Linked DNA regions of Drosophila melanogaster. The protein of the gene in region 1 purifies or fractionates together with the protein of each later gene. This does not show direct contact. Each region holds a gene or a part of one and is shown in the gene's direction. Other genes may lie near its edges.

Region 1 (7,822 bases):
ACTCCTGGTGGGCCAGCTTGTCGATGTAGCAGTCGATGAAGTCCAGCATCTCGTAGCGCTCGGCCAGCAGCATGAGGTCACCGCACATGTCGATGGTCACCGCATTGCACACCTCGTACGTGTAGATGTAGAGGAGCAACGCCTCGTAGGCGGTGGGAGAGGCGTCGTCCACGCTGATCACTCGCTTGTTCTTCTGGAACTCGGGATCCCTGATCAGGCGCTCGAACTCCGCGGAGGCGGAGATGAGCATCACCTGGTGGCAGCGGAAAATGCATGGACAACGCTTGCCCTCCTTCAACTTGTCCGGTTGCGAGACATGGAGCTCGCAGTCCGACTTTTGGCCATTCCGCAACAGGTCCAGGCGGCGTAGCTTGCAGTTCATAGTGACTGGGGATTTTTTGGAGGCTTTGCTCTCACATAGCACAAAATTTGGAATTCGAAATTAGGGTTTCCCTGGCAGGAATGTCAGACTCTGAGAAGGAGGCCGCCGGCAAAGCCCACCTGGGAAGCAACAATCGGTGGTCCGACCTGGAGGAGGAGGAGGAGGGTGAGGCGAACGACCAGGGAGGGATCCAGAACTTGAGGCCGGAACTCGTTGTGCCCAGAACCACAGCTGCATCGGATGTTGAGGAGAATTTACCATTGGGTTCTCCGAGTGATGGGTCCAAACGCGCTACGAGTAGAAACCGCAGACTGGAATACTTTCGCAGTGGAGCCGATGCCGATTGCCAGGTGCACGTCCTGAGCAACTGCCCCCAATCCGATGAGCCGGCGGTCAGTGTGTGCTACAAGAAATTTGGCTGCCATCGGATCTTCCTGGCCACTGCCTCCGACAAACTGGAGCAGGACGTGTACCAGAACAAGGACTGGAACGGCGTACTCCAGATCAATGGGGTTTCGCCCGAGAGCGTGGAGATCTTCCTGGAGTTCATATACACCTTCGAGGTGACCTCGCCGCTGGTCCAGCTGAAGCTGGTGGGGGATATGTTCATCCTGTCCTGCGCGTACAACATGCCGGAGCTCCTTCGCTCCTTTGCTGAGAAACTAAAGGAGCAGGAATTGCCTCTGGATGGCATCTTTCCTGCCTTCGACCTAGCATTCCGGCATAACATCATCGATGTGGAGCGCGTTTGCATCGAGGTTAGTAGATTGGAATATAAAATGGAGCCTTAATTTAGTTAGTTATCCTTTAGAAAATCATAGAGGAAGGCGCATCATTGATCCACGAACCCAGTTTAATGAAACTCCCGGTCTATGCTCTAAACTACGCCATCCAGCACTGGCTGGTGGCGGATGCAGTGCCTCCCGATGAACTCATCACGATTTTAAAGCAGTATCAGGAGATCAATGAGATTACATTCGCCAACACGCAAAAATTCCCGCACTTCACCAAAATTATCAAGTATTTCCCCAATGTTCTTCTGGACGCCGAGGGATTCATCAATCAAAACTAGAAAACTACTTGGAATTCCCAAAAGCTTCGCGCATAAAACCCAAAAATTTAAAAAAAATAAGCCAATAAAATATCAGTTCTCATTAGCATTGTATTGGGTATCTTTTGCATATGGCAAACTGGAAGCTCATCTAAGGGGAAGCTTAGATGAAAGACAGTCTATATTTAAGTTGTAGTTTTCAATAATTTCCTATTGATCAAAAGCGATCCAAACTTTAGAAGCATTTTTCAAAAAGATAAACGAGCAGTGCTGCCAACCGGTTGCACCACTCACGCCGGTATTTTCTTATGCGCCATTTTCGGTATTTTCCGGCAGATACCAGCCAAGAAGCGAACGCGTTATGCGAGGGCCGCATTTGGTACACTAGTGCGCCATTTTACTCGCATAAAGCCGAAAATTCACACAGTGGCCAGAAAGCGAGAAATTGCACAGTGCAAAAAGGTGTTTGGTAATTGATGAAAAGTTTTGCGCGTACCGTGAACCGACCGTTAATGATGTGCCCGCACGCGCAGCGGTGAAAGGCAGTTAATTCGCCTGTGGAGACGCGCTCACCACAACAAACTCGTGCTGTCCGAAAAAAAAAGTCGGCGCTCGGATTGCGGATTATCGAAGTACCGTACGGCAAGGCAGCAAAAAAAGTACGGAAAAGCCGCCCATGCAACGCGGCCAAAAAAGATAATGCAAGTGCAGTAATATTAATTGCCTGGCAGAGCGGCGCATACAGACACACTCCTCCTTTTTTCCCCACTTTTTTTGTTCTCTGGAGGCGCATGTTTTGTTTTTTCGTGCACTGTACCGTGGGCTCAGTGTGTGTGTGTGTGCGTCGGTGTGCCTGTGCGTGTGTGTGTACACATTTTAGGCGGCAATGGTGTGGGGCCCTGGCCAGCCGATAGTCCGCCGCGCCGCGAATGTTATCGATAGACGAGCCCTAACCATTTGTTGTTTGTTTTCCTTTTGTTGCAGTTTTCATGTCTATATAAACAAACGTACAGCGAAAGTCGGTTAAAAAATCAAGCAGCGAAATGGAGGAGATATCCAGTTTGGACTCGTTCGGCGCCGATTCCAATGCGCGACCGGAGTCGGCCACCCCCAGGTCGGAGGAACAACAGGATCAGGATCGACAACAGACTGCTCCGGCGGCCAGTGAAACTCTGGATACGCCCGCCTCGCCGCCAGCGGAGGATGCAGCTGCGCAGGAAAGCAAACCGCCTCCTTCCAAGGAGGCGGATGACGACTTCGAACAGATCTCCGAGGGATCATTAGACGCCGATGATAACCAGTCGCGGGATAAGGCGGCTAGTACACCAGCTGATCCCGTGGATGCGGAGGAGCCCGCCGAGGAGCCAACGCCCAACGAGGAGCCGCAAGGCGGTGAGGATGAGCAGCCACAAACAGAAGCCGTGAGGGTAGATCCACAGGAAGAGCCCGAGGAGGCGGAGGAGGAGACTGATGCCCTCCAGGCCACTGCGGAAGAGGTGGAGGCAGCGGCCGCCGAAGCAGATGCTGTGGACGGCGGTCCCGCTTCACCCGAAGCAATGGATGTGGATGAAGGCGAGGTGGATGCAGAAGGTGAAGCTGAGCAGGAAGCAGAAGACGACGCAGCTCTGGATCGAGAGGCGACAGATGATGTAGATATGCAGTCCGTGGGCGCAGATTCACACCAGGCGGAGGATGCAGAGCCACCGGAGGGCCGAGATGAGGTGGACACAAGCTTAGAGGAGCAGGAAAATGGCCAAGATCCTGATGAACGGGAGAAAGATGCGGCCGCCGATGAAGATGATCCGGATGCAGAAGGAGATGCGGAATCGGAGCAGGTGGATGAAAATGCCGAGGAAACTGGTGAGGCCGAACATGGCGATGGTAAGTCTTAGTACTTCTTTGATGCATGTTTATAAAAGACTAAATGAATGAACTATTTACATTATAGACACAGTGGAAAATGTTTTGGAGCCAGAGGAATCAGATGTTTGCCTTATTCCCGATGATCAAGAAACGGAAGTGACTGAAGCTGAGAAGGAACTGGCCCGCGAGAATGCCGAGAAGGCCGCCGAAGAGGAGGAAGCCGAGGAGCGGCAAGCCAAGACACCCGATAACGATAGAAAGTCCCCGGCAGATGCCGCCGCCGATCCAGAAGACGACAGTGCAGCTGCCGTTGACGCCACCGACGTATCTCCAACCACGCCAACTGGTAAGTGCTCCACACTAAGACTTGAAATGCCCTATCCCACATCTACTCTATCCATTTTGCCTGCAGATGCTCAAGCTGGAGCTAAGTCGGCGGCAACAGGCATTGCAGAAGGTGAGCAGATTGGGTTAATTCCTGGGCAAAACTCACTAACTGCTTCATTCGACTGCATTCTATTCATTTAATTCTTGCTTTAAATTTAGTTTGTTATTACAAAATTGGCTCCTAGCATACAGAACGATTGCTTATTAAAATGTATATAACGTAAATCCCCTTTTTTTGCCAGCAGATGGAGTAGCTGCAGCAGCTAACGAAGAGGAGGCCGGTGGCGATGTTCCCGATCCCGACGAGCCCACAGCCGAGGAATCCTCCAGTGCCGGAGCGGGTGAACCTGGTTCCACGCCGAAAATCATCATTAGTTGGATCGTTGGCAGCGTTCAGAAGTGCAAACAGTGTGGCGATGAAAAGAATTGTGGGTTTCGGTACAGGAGTCCAGAGGAGTCAGAAGAAATGGATAAGGAGAAGGAAAACGATAAGGCAGAGGAGAACGCTGAGGAGGGGGAGGAGGAGGAGGCTCGGCAAAAGCCTGCTGCTCCCAGTGGGTTCGAGTACATCTGCGATACCGCCTGTGTCGACGCCCTGCTAGAAGATCAACCCGGCAAGTACTTTGTACGCCGCAAGAAGTTCCTGGTCGAGGAAGTGGTTCGAGAAGAAGGCGCCGCCGAAGCGGAGGCTAGCGCCGATGGCGAGGGCGGAGATGCCGAGGAGGAAGCTACTCCAGCCAACACGCAAGATTGCCTGCAGTGCAAGGATAAGACGCGGTGCAAATATTTCATTAAACAGGACCAGGACTGCTTCTACATTTGCAATGACGATTGCTTCAATCTGCTCAACGCTGAGGAGCCAGATAAATTCAAGCTGAAGCGGCACTCGATTCGAGTGCGCAACATTGGCGCCACAACGCTGCAGCCACCGCAAAATTCGCCCACCAAACGGACCGACGGCAGCGTGGTGGCCAGGACGGTGGAGGAGGCAGAGACGGCGCGCCTGGACAGGATCGAAAGCTTCCGAAGGCGCTGCGCCGACTGCGAGGCGGATATCAATACGGACGAGAAGCAGCTCATGTGGGAGACCATGGACTTCTGCAATGAGGTGTGCCTGGGCAGCTATCAGCGCACCATTGGCTCCACCTGCGAGACCTGCAAGCAGGAGGTGAGCTCCATAGCGCTTGGCAAGTACTGCGTGCGATTCGGTTTCGATGTGCGGCAGTTCTGCTGCGCCGGCTGCCTTAACACCTTTAAGAAGGGTCTGAAGACGTGCTCCTGCTGCCAGAAGGACATCAGCGGCGGGCAGGAGGGCTTCCTTGCCCCGGTGGGTGACAAGGATCAGTTCAAGGACTTCTGTTCGCAATCCTGCCTCCGTCGCTACGAAAGCATGTGCAATCCCCGACGAAAACTACGCACCGATGTCTGCGGTGTGTGCAACAACCAGAAGCCAGTGAGGGTGGAGATGCTGCTGGAGGACAGAGAGCACTACTTCTGCTCGAATCCCTGCTTCTCCGCCTTTAAGTTTGTGAGCAACGTGAACGCTGATCCGTGTGCCATGTGCTCCAAATACTTTGAGCGGCGGAGCGCCGAGTCCTACACCATCTACAACGAACAGCAGTCACCGAAGGTCTTCTGCTCGCGGGTCTGCATAAATGTGTACATCATCGTCAACAGGCACATCGTCTCCTGCCAGTGGTGCAAGGTGAAGAAGTACAACTTTGACATGATCTATCAGATTGGTGGGCCGCACGATCAGGAGACGCTCACCTGCTCCATCAACTGCCTGACCATGCACGGCGTTAGCTGCAACATCTCCGCCAGGGCGGTTACCAAATGCGACAATTGTTCCAACTTCAATACGCCACAGTATCATTTGACCATGTCGGATGCTTCCATGCGCAACTTTTGCACCTACCAGTGTGTGATGCAGTTCCAGAATCAGTTCGCCCGCGCTCCCCTCACGCTGGACAGCGACCTACCGCCCAGTAGCGCCGGCAGCTCCAAGTCCCAGCAGCAATCCAATCGAGGCAACAAGAATGCGGCACCATTTCCCACGGGCCTGCCCAAACGTGTCAAACTGAAGCTCTCCCACGTGAGTCAAAAACTAAATAATAAACTAAAAGGGTACACACTGGGTTTTTTTTAAGTTTTTACAATCGAATGATAGCCATGCAATAAGTGTTAAAATATTGAACGTAAACGAAGTATTTGCAATTTTTTTTACCTGCTCGCTTAATTATTAATACATTTACTTCAATTTGGCTTTCAATTCAAGTTTCAATTGCAATCCTAATTTCATTCAATGTCCACCAAAATGGGAATTAACGTAAATTAATTAAGTATCATACCTAAGTTGCATATAATTAATGTCCCCGATAATTGCAGACTGGAAAAGGTGGCGTTGGAGGCAAGAAATCCGGCTCCGGCACCATGCTACCGGTTATATCCACGGTGCAATCGCTCGCCAGCGGCGAAACCGAAGCCCGGATCGGCAATCTGACGGTTCGTCGCAAGCGTGGACGTCCACGGGAATCGGGAACCTCATCACCGCCGCTGTCCATGCCGGGTGTCCATCCGCCAGCACAGCGAGGAAGGCCACGCAAGCACGCTGTAGACTACTCGGCGCGTTCACCATCGCCCACGATGTCAGGTGGCAGCTCCCACATGGGCATTCCGGTCAGGCGAAATACTACCACGACTATGGATTTCGGGCCGGCTACGGTAACGGAGACCAAGATCATCACAGTGCCACCATATCCCAAGGCTGTGCGAAACGTGAACATAAGCTGTAAGCCCTTAACGGTGACCCAGGGCGAGCAGTGTAGTCCGGATGTGCGGGATTGCGCCACCCAGACGGAGAAAGACTACTCCAACAAGGTGCTCATCCCGGTTCCGGTGCCCATCTTCGTGCCGCAACCCATGTACATGTACTCGGCTCCGTTCCCCGTACCAGTGCCCATTCCGCTGCCAATCCCGGTGCCTATTTTCATACCCACCACGCGCAACACCGCGCAAGGCATACTTAAGGAGATCAAGAAGATACAGGACAAGATGCCAGAGGATCCACTGGAGGCGGAGTTGCTTATGATGGCCGAGATGGTGGCAGAGGAGAAGCACGAATCGGACTCCGATTCGGACAACGAGATCAAGCCGGATCCGGGCCTGGTAGCTCTGCAGTACCAGAACAGCCTCGAGTCCGTCGCCCAACAGCAGCAACAACAGCAAGTGGTGGACGTTAGCGGAGCCGGACATAATCCCTACGGCGACGATATGCTGCAGATAGCCCTCAAGATGGCCACAGGCGACTACGACAATCATCACCAGACCTCGACGGTGGATCTGGAAACGTCGATGACGGCGAATACGATCAGCAGCCAGTCGCCGATGGGTCACGACGGAATGGGTCAAATGGGAGTACATCATCTAGATCAGCAGCATCACATGCTTGATGCCACGCAGCGGTGAGTTAAGAGAGATGGCAATCAGAGATCAATACTCAAGTACTTAAATGTGATGACTTTCAGAACCGCACGTGGACGCAAGCGCGGCGTAGGCGTCGTCATGGACCCACCCAACCGCAACAGCCGCTCGCCGGTGAAAAGGCAGCGCGGCGGCGAGATGGATCACTCGGCCCTGCAGCAGCAGTCGCAGCAGGCACAGCAGCCGCAGGAGAAGCCCGACGCCCAAATGTTCCTGAAGTACACCTTCGGGGTGAACGCATGGAAGCAGTGGGTGATGACGAAGAACGCGGACATCGAGAAGAGCTCGATGCGCCGGCGGCCCTTCAAGACGGAGCTGCTTCAAATGACCGCCGACGAGTTGAACTACTCGCTTTGCCTCTTCGTCAAGGAAGTGCGCAAGCCCAACGGGACGGAATACGCGCCGGACACCATCTACTACCTTGTGTTGGGTATGTAGTTACTCCCCAGGTTTACACATGTACCATTTGATTTTATTGGAATCTCTTCCTTCAGGCATTCAGCAATATCTGTATGTGAATGGACGCATAGACAACATATTCTATGATCCGTACTACGAGCGGTTTACCGAGTGCCTTGACGAGGTGGCGCGCAAGTTCTCCGTGCTTTACAACGATTCGCGTAAGTTGAATCAACTTGAAATGAGTCAGTTCCAGC
Region 2 (3,556 bases), on another chromosome or scaffold:
TTTATCTCCATGCTCGACTCATGGTTCTGGGCCTCGAAGTATTCTCCAAAGGTGTCCAGCAGATTGAGTTTGGACAAGTCCGGACTTGAGAAGCTATTACGCTGAGACTTGTTCAACTGGGATGTGCGCTTTACCGGAAGCACAGGCTCCGGCGTGGGGGCATTCTCATACAGTGGCAGGACCTCATCGCTGGGTTCATTGGCCACCTCGCTGGTGCTGCCGGAACGCTTTTGACGTGAACTCCCGAACAGGTTGTCCAGCATGTTCTTGTATTTCTTCTTCTTGGCCAGCTCCGATTCGGGATTGGTGCTGGACCGCGCAATCTCGCCAAGCTGGGCGCACTCAAAAGTGTTTATTCGCTGACGGTAAGGATGTGCGGGCAGCGGTGGCGGTGAAGGAGTCTCCATGACTGACGGCTTCATCTCTTCGTAAATGCCGGATGCGATTGAGACGCGGGAGATGCGGCTGCCGTCAAAAATCTCCTCGTATATTTGCGAGACTCGCGGAGAGAGAGCGCTAGCGTCGAGGGTTTCCGGCAGGTTAGGCAGTGGGCCCAGACCTCCGGGACCCCTGCTCAGCCGGCGCTGTTCTAGAAAGACCTGGCGATAAAGTTCCAGATTCTTAATCGACTTCCGCATCCATTTCATGTGACGTCGGCAGGATGTCTCCGTTTCCAGGGCGAAATAGATGAAGCAGTCCCGCCGATTTTGCGTCCAAAACAGCCCGTACGAGTGCTGCTTCGTGCGCGAGGTAGCCAGGCTCAAGCTGACGCCCGGAACGTTTACGGAGACGCTAATGGGTTTAGCGGGGTGACACTCTTGGGAGTGAGACTCGGTCTCCATGGCCTGGAAACTGAGCCGCAGGAAGCAGGGCACACACTTAATGGCCTCTATTTTCACTTGGCAGCGGGTCCATGTCTTGTAACGCAGCGCCACTGGTCGCTTATCGTGTGTATCCAGCTTGGCGTCCATAGTCATGGAGATTTCGTTGTGGTCCATCTTGGGGCTACTGCTACGTGGTGGGGCGGATGGAGGTGCGGTGAATGAGTTGCGAGTGAAAAATAAAAAAGTAAACGATCTATATCCGCTACTTCGAGAATTACATCTTTTTTGCGACTGGGTGGAGCTCTTATCGGCTATTCTCTTATCGCACGTTTATCCTTCGTGTCCTCGTGACGTGACTGGCGTTGCCACCTGGCGGAATATCACAGAAATCGCGTTTCTAGAAGACCAACAAATGAATTTATAACTTCAATATACATCAATCAAACTTAAGGTGCTCAGCCTAAGCTACACAGCTCTTTTAAGTTCTTTATTTATACTTTTAAATGCTAAATGCTTACATGTTATTTGGACATCTTGAGTACTAGCTTAATAAGAAGGTAGTATCCAAGCAATTCTTATTTATAATCTCTTAACTAATTTACACAATCTTTTAAATTATTTTCAAGATCCATAACCAGGTCTAAAACCAAACAAATAAAAACTAAAATCCTATTTATACTTCGCTTTATAGCTATTTTAATATTTATTATTAAAAAACGCTAATGATGTTTTCAAAAATGTTAGGCATTTCCTTTTAGTATTTAAAATTCTACATCCGACATTGGGGTATATTTGACTTCTACTTGGCTGAGTATGAATTATGATTTGCAAAAGAAGTAAAAATTTAACTTTAAAATTAGGTATCTGTCTAACTGTTTTTGTCGTTTAAAACACAGGGTAGGTATGGTTTTCTTTCAATTTAAAAACATCGCTAGAAAACTGTTTCCAAAAAGTAAGCTGCATTTTTTGTTTTTAGTTTTGCTTTATACAGAAATTTTAATACTATACTTTTTTGATAAGCATCCACCAGCAAGAATACAGCAAGCTTTTATTTAATATTTTATTAACATAATTATTTAATATGAATGATTGGTAATATTTTGAAGTACTCTACTACATAGCAGTCGTAGGATTTGTTATTTTTCACATTATTTTTGTAGGTTTGTAATTATATTTTAAGGGATATCTTAATTTTACATTCCTAAAATAATTTGGTAACTTTTTGCGATAGTCGTGACACGAAATCGAGGGATGAAATTGCATGTGATGCAGCCCCTTGAGCAAACAGTGTTGGACAACAGCGCGCGGCATCGGCATTTTTTGGCGGCCATTACAACGAATGGAAAACTGTGAAGCGTTGCGCACAAATTAATGCATAAACAACAGACAAGCAAGTAGCACACGCTCTGCCGCCTGACAACCAAACCCACCGAAAGCACAATACACATCTCCGAAGATGTCTTCGAGCGCTGCCAGGGTCTACATCCAAGTCGAGACAGAGGCCGAGCAGAAGGAGCACCTGAAGCAGCAGAGACAGACCCTGAAACCCTTGCAGGGCAACGTAAACGATAAGGAGAACCTCACTGGTTCAGGGCGCGCCTCCATCGTGGATCAGCTGAGTCGTCTGAAGGCCGGCGTCCAAGTCGCGCCCAAGTACGGCAAGCGCAAATGCGTGGACACGGCGCCCGCGATTTCCACAAAGGATGCGGATACCCAGACTGATGCTGAGGCCGTTCCGCTTGGCAATGCTGACAAGCCCATCACGGCAGAGGATCTCACTAGCACAGCCGAACCCGGCGAGAACTACTACAAGCTGCTGGCCGAGCAGCGGCGACTGGCGCTGGAGGACTCGCTCACCGAAAACCGCCATCTGCACGAGCGCATCGAGGGGCTTGAGGAGGAGATGGACACTATGCGCCAGGAACTGGACGAGGCCAAGAATTTGGTGGAGGTCCTGAAGGAGATCTGCGAAGAGGACAACAGCGAGGTGGAGGAGGACGACACTACGGGTGACGAGGACAAGGTCAACGCCTAGGCTACACACCAATCACACGTTTTTTTTAGTCTAAGGTTTTACATTTAGTTGTAGTTAAATATCGCGTTTATATCCCTGTTCGTCGTCAGCCAACACAACGGCTGGTCTAATTGTACGCCAGCAATATATTTACTTGTTACACGCCAGTTATAATCCTAATAAAGTTTTACATTTGCACAATTGCACACAATATTTAATTCGTATTCCTGTATTTTATGTGCAACTTATATAAACCATTTCGCATCCATATGCTAGTTTAGATATGCTCTTTTCCTTTCATTAATTCTACATCAAAACAAATGTGTTTATTAGCTTACATCAATGCGGATGGATTTCAATGTGTGGGGAGCTAACGCAAAAATAAAATACTCAAGGTACAACATATTTTTGAGACAAATATTTATTGGATGTAAAACTGTGAACTGCTACTTAAGCCAATCTGTAATAACTTCCTCGCTGTGGAAGTTATCCACGTCAAACTGCAATAAAGGAAGAGAAAAAGGTAAGTTTGGGAAGAGATACAAAGAACTAGTAACTCACCACAACGCACTCTTCGTAGGTGGGTACGGTGCCCACGATGTCTACATCGTTTACCACAGCGTTTATGTAAGCGGCATCTGCCTCGGCTGCCGCTATCAACACCGCAGTCTCGGAATCATCGGTCTCAGCGACGTGTGCAGCATCAGTTGAGGTGGCG
Region 3 (7,753 bases), on another chromosome or scaffold:
AATGGTAAGTGTCCTCTGGCACACCCACAATTACTCGTATAAAATCCACTTTTTCGGAATGCTCGAAGCAATTTCATATTCAAAATCATACTTCTGGTGTTGCAGCCACAACCTTCTAATATCAGTTACGACTTGCACCAAATAATCATTCGAAAGAATTCCTCAAAAATTACATACCAACATGAATGTACATATATTCTGAAAACAATGCGTTTGCCTTTTCCGATTGACACAGTGAAAATGAACAAAAGAATGTTGAGGCTGATGATGAGCGAAACAAAAGTATAAAAGATCTGATTCACCAAAAGTGAAATTCGTAACGTAGATCTTGTGGAAGTGAAGAAATTCTTATTATAATCTAAAAAAACATAATTTTTGTTTCAGTATCTAAGCAACTTTATCCTTGTAAGTTTGGTTCCATGTTTTTGAGCGCCAAAAAGTAGGCAACAAATTAAGCTAAATCAAGCGAGCTCGTGTTGATCCTTAGATAAGCAAGGACTATTGAAACAACTCAAAGATAGTTGGATTAGTTTTAATAATTTTTTCCAATTAGCAACTAACCAAAATACAGAAGGCATTATGTTTGATCAAATTTGGGCTAAGGCTCCGCGAATTGCGTGTTTGACTGCGTGACTTTTGTTTTCCGAAACTCACCCACTTTCGCACGGGCCATTCCATTCAGATCCCGACGCCATGGTCTACGGGTATATGGAGTGGAGTGGAGTGGAGGTCTCCTTGAAACGCGGTTGGTCACGAAAGCGAACAACAAAGAAAAGGCTTGCCCGTCATTTGAGGCAACATTTAATGGCCACTGGCTATGGGGCTATATGGCTATATGGCTAAAAAGCTATAGGGCTCATCCTGAATAAACAGGGGTTGGTGTGTGTGGGTGTGTGCGACTAGGTGTGTGTGTGTGTGTGTTGGTGTGCGAGAAGTTGACGTTCGTTTGTGAAAACGAAGAAAGTGATTAAATCAGCACGATATTTTGTAGGTGTGCGCTAGCTCACCCATTAAATTTCTCCCATCCGCATTCGTGTATGTGTGTGTGTGAGCCCGCACACACACCTACACATTTGAGCTACTGTTCTAAATTGACTTTTCGCCTGGACAAAACTAAAAATGACGACATCGCGTTTTTTTTCGCTTTCATAGAAAAGCTTTGCCTCTAAACATGCCCATCATGCGCGTGTTTATAAACAACACAGATCTCTTACCAACCTGTATATAACATTTATATGTATATATATATAGAAAGGTGTGCTGGGCCTCCGATTACACTCCCACATGCATGTTCGCACACATGTATGCAGTTACCAAATATGGGAACACACGTTAATGTAATTAAGCCTTAAGGCTGGATAAATGCCAACTCGAGTCGTATATTATTTGCGATATTGCAGGCAGTTATAAATTAACTTCTTTATGACTGCTGCTAATTTGGATTTTCAATTCGAGTGCTTGTTATTTTGGGTGTTATTTTAAAAGAACTTAAACAGCTTGAAGATAAGGTTTCAAAAACGTTAAGCCATTATCATTATCCCAGGACTGCCTCATTTTTGGTGGAAGCGATTTCTTACATTTTGTTACAATTTAAATCTGTATTGGTTTTTCACGCAATATCTTTAGTTTAACGAATATCATATATCCTATCTTGAACTTCAGCATTTCGAAAACGGTTTCGAGTGGCTTTGAAAAACCAGTAAGTTCCGTGCAAATACCCCTAATGAAGTTCAATCGGCGCGAATCAGTGGTTCGCGCGCTTATCGATAGGCAATGTTTTGGTTTTGCTTGCTTTCGGCATAAAAACGTAATTTTCATGCGGTTTTTGCGGCAATTTAGGGACGTTTTTCGTTTGGCAAGTGGTGTTTGTGTTATGAATTAAAGTAACATTTAACTCATTCAATTGAATCATCGCATAAAGCAGAGTGTTTTTGTGTTTGAAACTGAAATCTGCGCACGTGTTGACTAACTTGTTGTTATTATTATAGCGTTGCTTAGATATTCTAGTAAATTGGCCGCAAATCAAAAACTATAAACAATTCTCGTGGCTGTTGAAAATGGAGAGTTCCAAACTCTTGAGAAATGCACAAACCCAGCATGGAGATGCCTCATCCGTGGACGTGGAAAACATATTCCTGCACCGCCATATGCTATACACAAATCCCACTTCGGATGGCAATCTCCATGATCGGGAAGATTCCCCCGAATGCGTGTGGTGTCCAGACGACAAGGATGGTAGTCCAGCTGAAAGCAAAGATCCACCGGTGAGTAGTGATAAGATAAGACATTCTATTAAGTACATAGATCCGGTTACTATTATATATCAAGATATCATACAATATATAATTACATATGATCCGCATTGTTTGCTGAGTATACCTTGTGTATTTATAAAAAAGAAAACTAAATTTTTAAAATTATATACTGTATAGTTATAATTTTTTAACATTACAGAAATGTTAGAAATATATTGTATATTCAGGAATATATTTATGTGTAAAATCCAGCTGAACTTGATTAAATGCCGTTTTGTTCATGCACTTGAATGCATATTTGTTTACCCTGGCGTGTCGCCCTCCATTATTAATTCCCATTTATTTACCCGCTTTATAGCGAGGAATCCGCGGCTGGCGACCACTTCTCCAACTTTGACCGATTCGCAGCTAGTAAAAGAGCATATTTATCTTGGGGGAATCGAATGCCCAAAACAATTTAGTCCGGTCTGCTCGCAAATTGTGTGGATTCGGATTCCTGTCCTCACTTATGCAGTATTATTGGTGTCGAGGGAAATTTCAATGCAGCAGCTCCAATCGCACACTTAAAACTTAATTAAAAAGCTAATCAGGGAGTAGCAAATGCAATTTGCTGCATTAATTTAAACAATTAATTAGGTACAATTTCAATTGTTGTAATGCTCTTCATATCTAAGCTCATTCATACTGTAGTAGTTTAATTCTAAATTGACGTAATAAACTAGAGGCAAATTAGGTTTTTGATTGAAGCTTAAAGTGTTGTTTTGTATTTATTCTTCAGAAAAAGTTTCGAAGTAAGTTGCAAACTAATTAATAACAATAATGAAAGAAAGCTCAAACAGCATTGCGTGACACCCACACATGTGAGTGAAAGAAATGGGTTTATTTCAGTTTTATTCTATTACCTTAAAGTTTCGAGAGTCATAAAATTGTATATAAACATGCGGTGGAGCCAGGAGGAGTAGCTGCACCCTGGTACCTGGAGATTTAAGCCATTTTTACGAGACTTTGAGTCACAAATGCCCCAATAAACGAGACTGCAGTCAGTGCCTGCAGTGGAAGAGTCAACGTTCTGGCCGCCATAGAAATTTAAAGCCACCCCTAGGCGTCAGTAGATTCTTAAAAATTTAGGGCTTTGCTAAGATGTGCAACAAAAACCAGATTTTAGACAAAACCCTTAATGGCCCACAAAAACCGGTACAGGCATGCTAGTTTCGTGGCTTTTTGTTTGCTGGTTCCTCCACCTCAACGTACGTGACAGTGTCAAATGGCCTTAAATATTTAGCCAGAGTGTACACTTAAAGCGCCAGACCCATTCCTAATTCTCTCTCGCTAATTAAACTAATCAATAAACTAAAAACCGGAGTGTATACAAACGCATATACATTATATACATGTATATATATGTATATAGGGAAATAGCTCGAGGTTGTCGTCTGCAAGGAGTTAAGTTATGTGTGGGGACCAACTGGACGCACGAATGGACGGACACGTTTCACTTGCCTTCGTAGATATTTTACCACGGATTTGTCATAATTAGTTCTTTTTTGGGTGGGGTTTCAGTGGGTTTCTAGTGTCCCGGCATCTCGCGCGGTGGCTGCCTAACGAGCTACTTTTGTCAAGTTGGTCTGTTGGTCGTGATGTTTCCGCAATTATTAGTGTCAGTGCCTCGTGCTTACGGGCGGGTGGGTATCCTAAGTGCGGTCCTCATTGTTTCCGCGATGCGCCTTTTGGGCCAGTCGTTTTTATAATTCTTACAATACCATGTAAACACGCATTACGAAAACCGCCGCGGATGGCGGTTACTGGTTTGCAGGAAGAGGAAAATCCCTCTAAGACTTGGTCGCCTGCACTCCTTTTCCATTTTCCATTCCACTGACACTGGCTTGCGCCATCAAACTGAGGAATTAAAAGGGAAGATAGGCTGCCTGTGGACTAAGTGGCTTTGCGGATCAGGCACACTTTGCGCAATTAACTAAATAAATAAATGTATAGAAAAGTGGTTGTTAAGAAAACATAAGCCTTGTCATTCGAACATATCAAATATTCCCAAATCTTGCCACTTTAAAAACTCTTGTTGGGCTTTTTGCACAGACACAATACCTATTTTTTTTAATAAGGTTTGATTGCATCCCCTCTGTTAATTATAATTAACAGGTAATATTAATGATTTTAACTTTCTTTTTGTGGCATAATAATGGTGGCATATTGACTTGGAACAATCAAAAGCATTATTTATGTTGACTTTAATAGCCAAGGACAAACAAAAAATTATGAAATAAATAAAAATAACAATTGCATTAATATGTAAAATCTGTGTAGTATATATATTAATTAAGACCATAAAGGGAACAAAACCCATAGAGATGGCACTTTCGAATGTGTTGAGATATCTGCGAGGCGCCAAATTGAATTGATCTGGCAACGCTAAGTTGAATTTGTTATCAATGTAGGTTAATGTGAAGAAAAAGAAAAATCGTGGGTTTGTTTACAAAAAAGCGCGATAAAAATAGAATGCGAATTGGCGGCAAGTGAGGGGAGCCGCCGATGATATCCAATTTGTATGATAATTATGCGCACAGGTGTGGACGGATTGGAAATGTGCCATCAAGAGCATGTGGAAACAGAAACATGAGCCAATGAAGGCGACGGAAGAAGAGCATGTCATTATCCTCCAGTTGGATAAGTTCCAAGATGCTGATCCGGATGAAATCAGGGTGTATCAAGAAGCAGTACCCAAGGGAGTTAGCTCCTCTAGTCTTAAAAACACCGCCTAACAATATAAAAACCTTATCGAAACCCATTGTTAGCTGATAACAGCTTTAGAATAATCTCTGCAGGATCAGAGGTCACTGCAATTCTTAAGGTAATTGCAATTCTTAAGGTAATTGCTGTAGAGCTTCGTGAAACTACGAGGACCGACGCAGAATCAATGATGTCTATGGCACTTGAGATGTGGAGAAGGGAGGGCAGCACAAAAATGATAAAAAATGTTTGTATTTTATAGTTTTAAACTTTGCATAACCCTTAAACAACTCAAGAGACCTGTTTTATTATGGACTTTTGTCTATGTTTGCTTCCTGGCTAGAACATATTGGCTGGTAGACCAGTAACCAACAAAATACTACTGGTTCGCAGCCAATTTTGTAGTTTTTGTTTTCCTTTTAGTGTGCAACAAGGAAAAAACAAACAGTCTGTCTGAAAATTATGCTTGGGCTGCAGAATGAAAACGAGGAATTGTTTGCACACAAACACCGGAAACAAGGCTCCAATGTGTTAAGAGCTGATAAGCTGATAAGGATACATATATGATGACTTTGGCACGGTAGGCTTTCGTATTTTCTGTATCTTCAAGAGTGAAGTTCCTCAAATCTAAACGAATTTTCTAAATAGTAAGCAATTGTTCAGTTTAAAGCAAGAACTAAAGGTGTTTTTGCTCAAAAATAAAAAGAAGACATTCAATGAAGCTGAAAATATTTTAAAAAACTATTACCACCCGTCGTGGTTTATCTTACAGATATCCATATCAGAGGAAAAGTCTGAAACGCAATCAAAAGAAGTTTTGTCGGAAAAGCGAAAAGCTAGCAGCACAGATGACGAAGGGCATGTGAAAAAAGTAAAATTAGAGGCCAATAGTCTAAAAACGAAGCGTCCTGGATTCAGCGATGAAAGATACGACGAAACATCGTATTATTTTGAGAATGGTATGGCCAACATATTAATAAACCAACTTAGAAGATATTCTGTTATAAAATTGCAATCTATAGGTCTGCGGAAGGTGTATCCTTATTTTTTCACATTCACCACGTTCGCCAAAGGACGTTGGGTTGATGAGAAAATTCTGGATGTATTTGTCCGCGAATTTCGAGCCGCACCGCCGGAGGAATATGAACGCAGCCTGGAAGCGGGAAAATTGACTGTTAACTCTGAGAAAGTGCCCAAGGACTATAAAATCAAGCACAATGATCTGCTGGCCAATGTGGTGCATAGGTAAGCATCAGCAGGAAATCTCATTTGAATATGCACACATTTGCATTCTAGACACGAAGTCCCTGTTACTTCACAGCCCATCAAGATTGTGTACATGGACAAGGATATTGTGGTTGTGAATAAGCCGGCATCGATACCGGTAGGTATACTAATTTGGAAGGAATTTGATTTAATAACAATCGTATGTTGTAGGTACATCCTTGTGGAAGATATAGACACAACACGGTAGTTTTCATCCTGGCCAAGGAGCACAATCTGAAGAACCTGCGAACCATTCACAGATTGGATCGTCTCACATCTGGCCTACTTTTGTTTGGACGGACTGCTGAAAAAGCCCGCGAATTGGAGCTGCAAATCCGAACTCGCCAAGTGCAAAAGGAATACGTTTGCCGCGTTGAAGGACGCTTTCCAGAGTAAGTCCAAAATGCATCTAATCTTTTATATATCTGCTTATTTTTCATATCTTTCGTAGTGGCATAGTTGAATGCAATGAGAAAATCGACGTCGTGAGCTACAAAATAGGTGTTTGTAAGGTTTCACCGAAGGGCAAGGACTGTAAGACCACATTTAAAAGAATCGGCGAGGTGGGCAGTGATAGTATTGTTTTGTGCAAACCACTAACAGGACGAATGCACCAAATACGAGTGCATTTACAATTCTTGGGTAAGTGACAACCAGATAATTCCATTCAATTATAACACTCGTATTTCACAGGCTATCCCATTTCAAATGATCCTTTGTACAACCATGAAGTTTTCGGTCCATTGAAAGGAAGAGGAGGAGATATCGGTGGAATAACCGAGGAACAGTTGATCAGTAACCTAATTAGCATTCATAATGCAGAAAACTGGTTGGGCTTGGAAGGAGATCAAATCGTATCAGGGGAAATAAAAGACGTAGCAGCAAGTACTTCAGTAGTAGAGGCTCCCTCAGTAGTTCAGGCTCCTATTAATAGTGAAACTGAAAAGCCTGTGATTTCAAAAAACCTTGAACCAAGTAACGATGTAAGTAACTTAAAATAGTTGTACAAGTCTGGAGAACACAATGCTTATAGGCTACTGCACAGATTGCCACCCAAACGTGCTATGAGGAACCAGACAGGTCCTTTGATTCCAAGAAGACAACTTCGGATCCGCAATGTTCTGAATGCAAGATAAACTACAGAGACCCCGGCACAAAGGATCTCATAATGTACTTGCATGCATGGAAATACAAGGTCAGTTTCAAACTATACATTTTTAAAGATTTAATTTCAAATTAAATCTTATTTTCAGGGCGTTGGTTGGGAGTACGAAACCGAATTGCCGGAATGGGCGTGTAATTCGAATATTGATTACGATAAAGTATAAAGGAAAAATTGATTGCAAACACGACGCTTTAGTAAAAAGAAATATTTTTACAGAGTTTAACAAATTGTGTTTCCATTTTATCTTCATTTGTAGCATTGTTTTATTACTTTGCCGAATTACTTTATCATTTTGCGGTGCAAGGGGATGTCCTCGTGGAGTATT
Region 4 (4,813 bases), on another chromosome or scaffold:
GCTGGATGCGTGGTCCGCGGGGTCCACCTGTTCGGATCCAGCCAGATCCACCAGGCTCAGTACGCTCTGCTTTACGGTGTCGTTATCACTGTGGTCCGACTTTCGGGACTCAATGATCTGTAGAAATAATCTTGCATATTATATGATTAATACAAGAATCTAGCACTCACTATCCTGAAGATGGCGTGCGAACGACTGGACCGCTCGTTCATGTTGGTCTCGCCCACGACGCGCTCCTTGTTGCCCATGTAGAGCTGGCGCAGGAGGTCGTCCTCGCTGGTTACGATGGACTCCTTGCAGTTCACATTCACAATCCCATTGCCGGACTCATGGATCTTGAGGTCCTGATTCTTCTTGTTCAGCAGATCGTAGATCTTCTCGTTGTAGATCTCGATGTAGCCCACGCGCAGCAGAAAGTCCCGCTCCGTCTCACTGGAGATCTGTTGAAAGATCTCCTTGGCGGCTAGCACCATGACGCCCGGATTCTGTTCGTCGCCCATCATGGTGTACGTCTTGCCTGAAATGCATGCCCGGTTTTAGGTATACCGCCGCGTATATATAGCACAGTACCCACCCGACGACGTCTGGCCGTAGGCAAAAATAGTTCCGTTGGAGCCCTGCATGCAGGCGTGCACTATGTGCTTGGCCATCCGGTCGAACACCTCCTGGTTGCTGGCGCCCTCGTCGAACACATAGTCTGCCAAACGGAATGGAATGTAAATGAGATAAAGGTCTTGTAGATCAGGATACGCTCAACGCTCTAACCACTCACCGAAGACATAGGGCTCCGCATGGCTGTCCGCCAACTGGATGGAGCGGCCCTCCTTCACCTGCCAGAGTGAAGTGAGCCCGGGCTCGCAGGGACGCACCTTGATGCAGACCTGGATGGAGCTGGCGTTCTTCGTAGACATCTTTGCGACTTGTGGGAAACGTGTTTGACATGCACAATGAACAGACACAAACAGATTTTAACGTTTTATAAAAGCTAGTTTGATCGACATGTTAGTTTCTCTTTGTAAATTCGAACAAATACCGCTTCGGAAGCGAACCAGATCGAAATACGGAACCAGTAAATAGGCGCGAGCCAGTTCAATTTAAAAGTTTGAGGAGCTTTCGGCGAATATGAAAATATAATCCAATAGGCTTCGAACATAAAACTTTTTCCGAGCTTTTTCGTGATATATAATATAGATTATTATTATCTATATTTCCAAAATAGTAAAGACCGCTAAATTAAATGCTTACTTACAGACAGACAAAAGCTGAGGGGATTGTTTAATGCATACAGAAGAATACTGTCTGATATAAACATGAGATTTCATTGGAATAATAATCCCAGTTGTTCACTATTAAAAAAAATAGGAAAATTGAAAATTTGGAAAATATTATAGTGGTTATATTAGGGAGCTTAGTTATAATTTATTTCAAATATTTGTTTTGGAATCAAATACTTTCCACATTATATGTGTGCTATGAATAGAAGTTATGAATTAGTAGAAAAAATACGAACTTATATGAAATTTAAACCGTAGTTTTCGCATGTATTTAAGAGCTTGTTCTATTTTCTGTTTGACCTTAAAGTATTGAGTCATAGAACTTTGTTAGTTAGCATGCCCTACCAATAAGAACACAACGTCTTAGAATATATATATGCCGTAGCGACCCTTGATCAGGAATGTTAATGCAGCCCTGTGGGATAAGAACATAATGTGTTTCTGTTTTTATTTTTGCAGCCCTATTTGGAACTATGATAACAATCGATGAACCGATTTATCTATCGAGTCGTTAGCGCCACTCGAAGATATCGAAGCATATACATCCCTGATTTTGCAAAGCGGCATTTGTTCGAATTTAACGAGCAACAAAGATGTCGATCAATGTTTGTTTACTGTAAAACATTGAATTTTATGTTTGTTTATGAACTGCGTTCTGTTTATCATAAAGCATTGAGACCAAGAAGGCGCCAAGATGTCTGCGAAGAACGCCAGCTCCATCCAGGTCTGCATCAAGGTGCGTCCCTGCGAGCCCGGGCTCACTTCACTCTGGCAGGTGAAGGAGCGCCGCTCCATCCACTTGGCGGACAGCCATGCGGAGCCCTATGTCTTCGGTGAGTGGTTAGAGCGTTGAGCGTATCCTGATCCACAAGACCTTTATCTCATTTACATTCCATTCCGTTTGGCAGACTATGTGTTCGACGAGGGCGCCAGCAACCAGGAGGTGTTCGACCGGATGGCCAAGCACATAGTGCACGCCTGCATGCAGGGCTTCAACGGAACTATTTTTGCCTACGGCCAGACGTCGTCGGGTGGGTACTGTGCTATATATACGCGGCGGTATACCTAAAACCGGGCATGCATTTCAGGCAAGACGTACACCATGATGGGCGACGAACAGAATCCGGGCGTCATGGTGCTAGCCGCCAAGGAGATCTTTCAACAGATCTCCAGTGAGACGGAGCGGGACTTTCTGCTGCGCGTGGGCTACATCGAGATCTACAACGAGAAGATCTACGATCTGCTGAACAAGAAGAATCAGGACCTCAAGATCCATGAGTCCGGAAATGGGATTGTGAATGTGAACTGCGAGGAGTGCATCATAACCAGCGAGGTTGACCTCCTGCGCCTGCTATGCTTGGGCAATAAGGAGCGCACCGTGGGCGAGACGAACATGAACGAGCGGTCCAGCCGTTCGCATGCCATATTTAAGATAGTAAGTGCAGCCTGCTATTTTCTTTCCGATAATCTGCAACATGTATCCCACAGATCATCGAGTCCCGAAAGTCGGACCACAGCGATGACGACGCAGTGATTCAAAGCGTGTTGAACCTGGTGGATCTGGCTGGGTCAGAGCGGGCGGACCAAACGGGTGCTCGAGGAGCGCGCCTCAAAGAGGGCGGTCATATAAACAAGAGCTTACTTTTTCTCAGTAACGTTATCAAAAGTCTGTCGGAAAACGCGGACAATAGATTTACCAACTACCGCGATTCCAAGCTGACGCGCATTCTGCAGGCTTCTTTGGGCGGCAATGCATTCACATCCATCATTTGCACAATCAAACCATCGATCATGGAAGAGTCGCAGTCTACCCTTAGTTTCGCCACGCGAGCCAAGAAAATTCGCATTAAGCCCCAAGTCAACGAGATGGTATCTGACGCCACAATGATGAAGCGGCTGGAGCGAGAAATAAAGGTGCTTAAGGATAAGCTGGCCGAAGAAGAGCGCAAAAACGAGAACCAGCAAAAGGTAGAGCATCTGGAGAGACAAATAAAACACGACATGCACAAGATAATCTGTGGTCACTCCCTGAGCGACAAGGGTCAGCAGAAGCGTCGCCGTACTTGGTGTCCCACTGCATCGGGATCGCATTTGGAGCTAGCAGAGACCGGCACAACTGAAGATCGAATTGACCAATTTCCAAAGGTCTCACACCTTCCAAAACCAGTGTTTTTTCACACTTCAAATGCAGGCAAACGATGGGACAACATTCCAAAGACCATAAACATTTTGGGTTCCCTGGATATCGGTACCGAGAGCAACTCCATTAGTGAGGAATTTCTCCCGGCAGAATGCATTGATTTTGGCTCCCCTCGCCCAGATGTCCTCAAACCCATGTTGACCATCAGGCAACTGCCAGACCTGCCCCTCACTCCCAAGGGTCCCTTAACGTAAGTACTTCTGCAAGCTTTTTGATCATCCTCCATAACATTCATCACATAACAATCGCATCCACATACCCCGACCCGATCCCTGCACTTATTTGCCTGCACAGAACGGATAAAATCAAGAAGGAAATCCAGGACCTGCAAATGTTCACCAGCTTAGAGAAGCATTTTGAGGTGGAGTGCGAAGAGGTGCAGGGTTTAAAAGAAAAGCTGGCCGAGGTTACAGCACAGCGGGATAATTTAGAGCAAGAATCGTTAGCCGAAAAGGAGCGGTGAGTTAATGAGGTGTTTTCTGTCAAGGAATCTGTCGTCCAAAACATAGTGCCTGCATCGTAAAAAACGATGTAAACGTAACTCGACTTTTGTGCTTTAAGCAGTCAACCCAAAATCTAACATACCTATTCATACAAATCTGTAAAACTAGTGCAGCGATATTCTATTCCATTCTATAAAAACAAAACACTTAAGTATATGTTTCAGTTTTTAACAGTAAATTTTGTTTATAGAACACCACTCCACAATACCTGTTTGTTTGATTTATTTTATTATAGTTTTAGTGTTTAACAATAGTTTACTACTTGTGTATCTTCTTATAGTTATGATGCTCTGGAAAAGGAAGTAACCAGCCTAAGAGCGGATAATGAGGCTGCGAATTCAAAAATCAGCGAATTGGAAGAGAAACTGAGTACTCTAAAGCAGACTATGAGAATAATGGAAGTGGAAAATCAGGTGGCCGTGGGCCTCGAGTTTGAGTTTGAGGCTCACAAGAAATCATCGAAACTTCGCGTGGATGACTTACTCTCTGCCCTTTTAGAAAAGGAGTCGACTATAGAGAGTCTTCAAAAGTCCCTCGACAATTTAACCCGCGATGTCTTACGGAACAGCAAGGAGGGCCACATGCTTTCCATTGCCCCAGAGCAGGAAGACATCGCCGGCGACAGTATATGCAACAAGTGTGAGGAACTGGAGAAGCTGATTGCAGATTTAGAGTCCAAGAAAAATTCATGCGAGTGTGATCAGCTCCGGTTGGAAATCGTCTCTGTTCGCGACAAGTTAGAGAGCGTTGAATCTGCCTTTAACCTGGCAAGCTCGGAGATTATCCAAAAGGCGACTGATTGCGAGCGACTTTCGAAAGAGCTATCCACATCCCAG

What was found.
Region 2: the proteins of woc (region 1) and geminin purify together in Drosophila melanogaster (affinity purification with mass spectrometry, with the first as the bait; one large-scale study listed by BioGRID). This does not show direct contact.
Region 3: the proteins of woc (region 1) and RluA-2 purify together in Drosophila melanogaster (affinity purification with mass spectrometry, with the first as the bait; one large-scale study listed by BioGRID). This does not show direct contact.
Region 4: the proteins of woc (region 1) and cmet purify together in Drosophila melanogaster (affinity purification with mass spectrometry, with the first as the bait; one large-scale study listed by BioGRID). This does not show direct contact.

Annotation. Positions count from the first base shown.
Region 1 is NT_033777.3:27,258,047-27,265,868, reverse strand, and holds the start of woc (without children), read left to right. Parts: upstream 1-1,813; 5' UTR 1,814-2,092; exon of another isoform or gene 2,093-2,134; intron 2,135-2,417; 5' UTR 2,418-2,476; coding exon 2,477-3,314; intron 3,315-3,381; coding exon 3,382-3,642; intron 3,643-3,708; coding exon 3,709-3,753; intron 3,754-3,920; exon of another isoform or gene 3,921-3,925; coding exon 3,926-5,778; exon of another isoform or gene 5,779-5,819; intron 5,820-5,883; exon of another isoform or gene 5,884-5,988; coding exon of another isoform or gene 5,989-6,012; intron 6,013-6,071; coding exon 6,072-7,147; intron 7,148-7,210; coding exon 7,211-7,596; intron 7,597-7,660; coding exon 7,661-7,786; intron 7,787-7,822. Other genes in the region: CG14260 (uncharacterized protein), read right to left, coding at 1-382; CG14262 (uncharacterized protein), read left to right, coding at 463-1,140, 1,194-1,454.
Region 2 is NT_033778.4:6,654,954-6,658,509, reverse strand, and holds geminin (geminin), read left to right. Parts: upstream 1-1,915; 5' UTR 1,916-1,984; intron 1,985-2,055; 5' UTR 2,056-2,280; coding exon 2,281-2,859; 3' UTR 2,860-3,047; downstream 3,048-3,556. Other genes in the region: sced (scrambled), read right to left, coding at 1-998; Opbp (Optix-binding protein), read right to left, coding at 3,285-3,338, 3,400-3,556.
Region 3 is NT_033779.5:10,475,329-10,483,081, forward strand, and holds RluA-2 (RluA pseudouridine synthase 2), read left to right. Parts: upstream 1-1,744; 5' UTR 1,745-2,057; coding exon 2,058-2,264; intron 2,265-5,769; coding exon 5,770-5,956; intron 5,957-6,019; coding exon 6,020-6,242; intron 6,243-6,293; coding exon 6,294-6,381; intron 6,382-6,434; coding exon 6,435-6,655; intron 6,656-6,714; coding exon 6,715-6,905; intron 6,906-6,956; coding exon 6,957-7,246; intron 7,247-7,296; coding exon 7,297-7,458; intron 7,459-7,516; coding exon 7,517-7,591; 3' UTR 7,592-7,647; downstream 7,648-7,753.
Region 4 is NT_033779.5:11,266,002-11,270,814, reverse strand, and holds the start of cmet (CENP-meta), read left to right. Parts: upstream 1-1,812; 5' UTR 1,813-1,968; coding exon 1,969-2,107; intron 2,108-2,182; coding exon 2,183-2,305; intron 2,306-2,362; coding exon 2,363-2,709; intron 2,710-2,762; coding exon 2,763-3,664; intron 3,665-3,768; coding exon 3,769-3,933; intron 3,934-4,257; coding exon 4,258-4,813. Other genes in the region: cana (CENP-ana), read right to left, coding at 1-117, 171-517, 575-697, 773-911.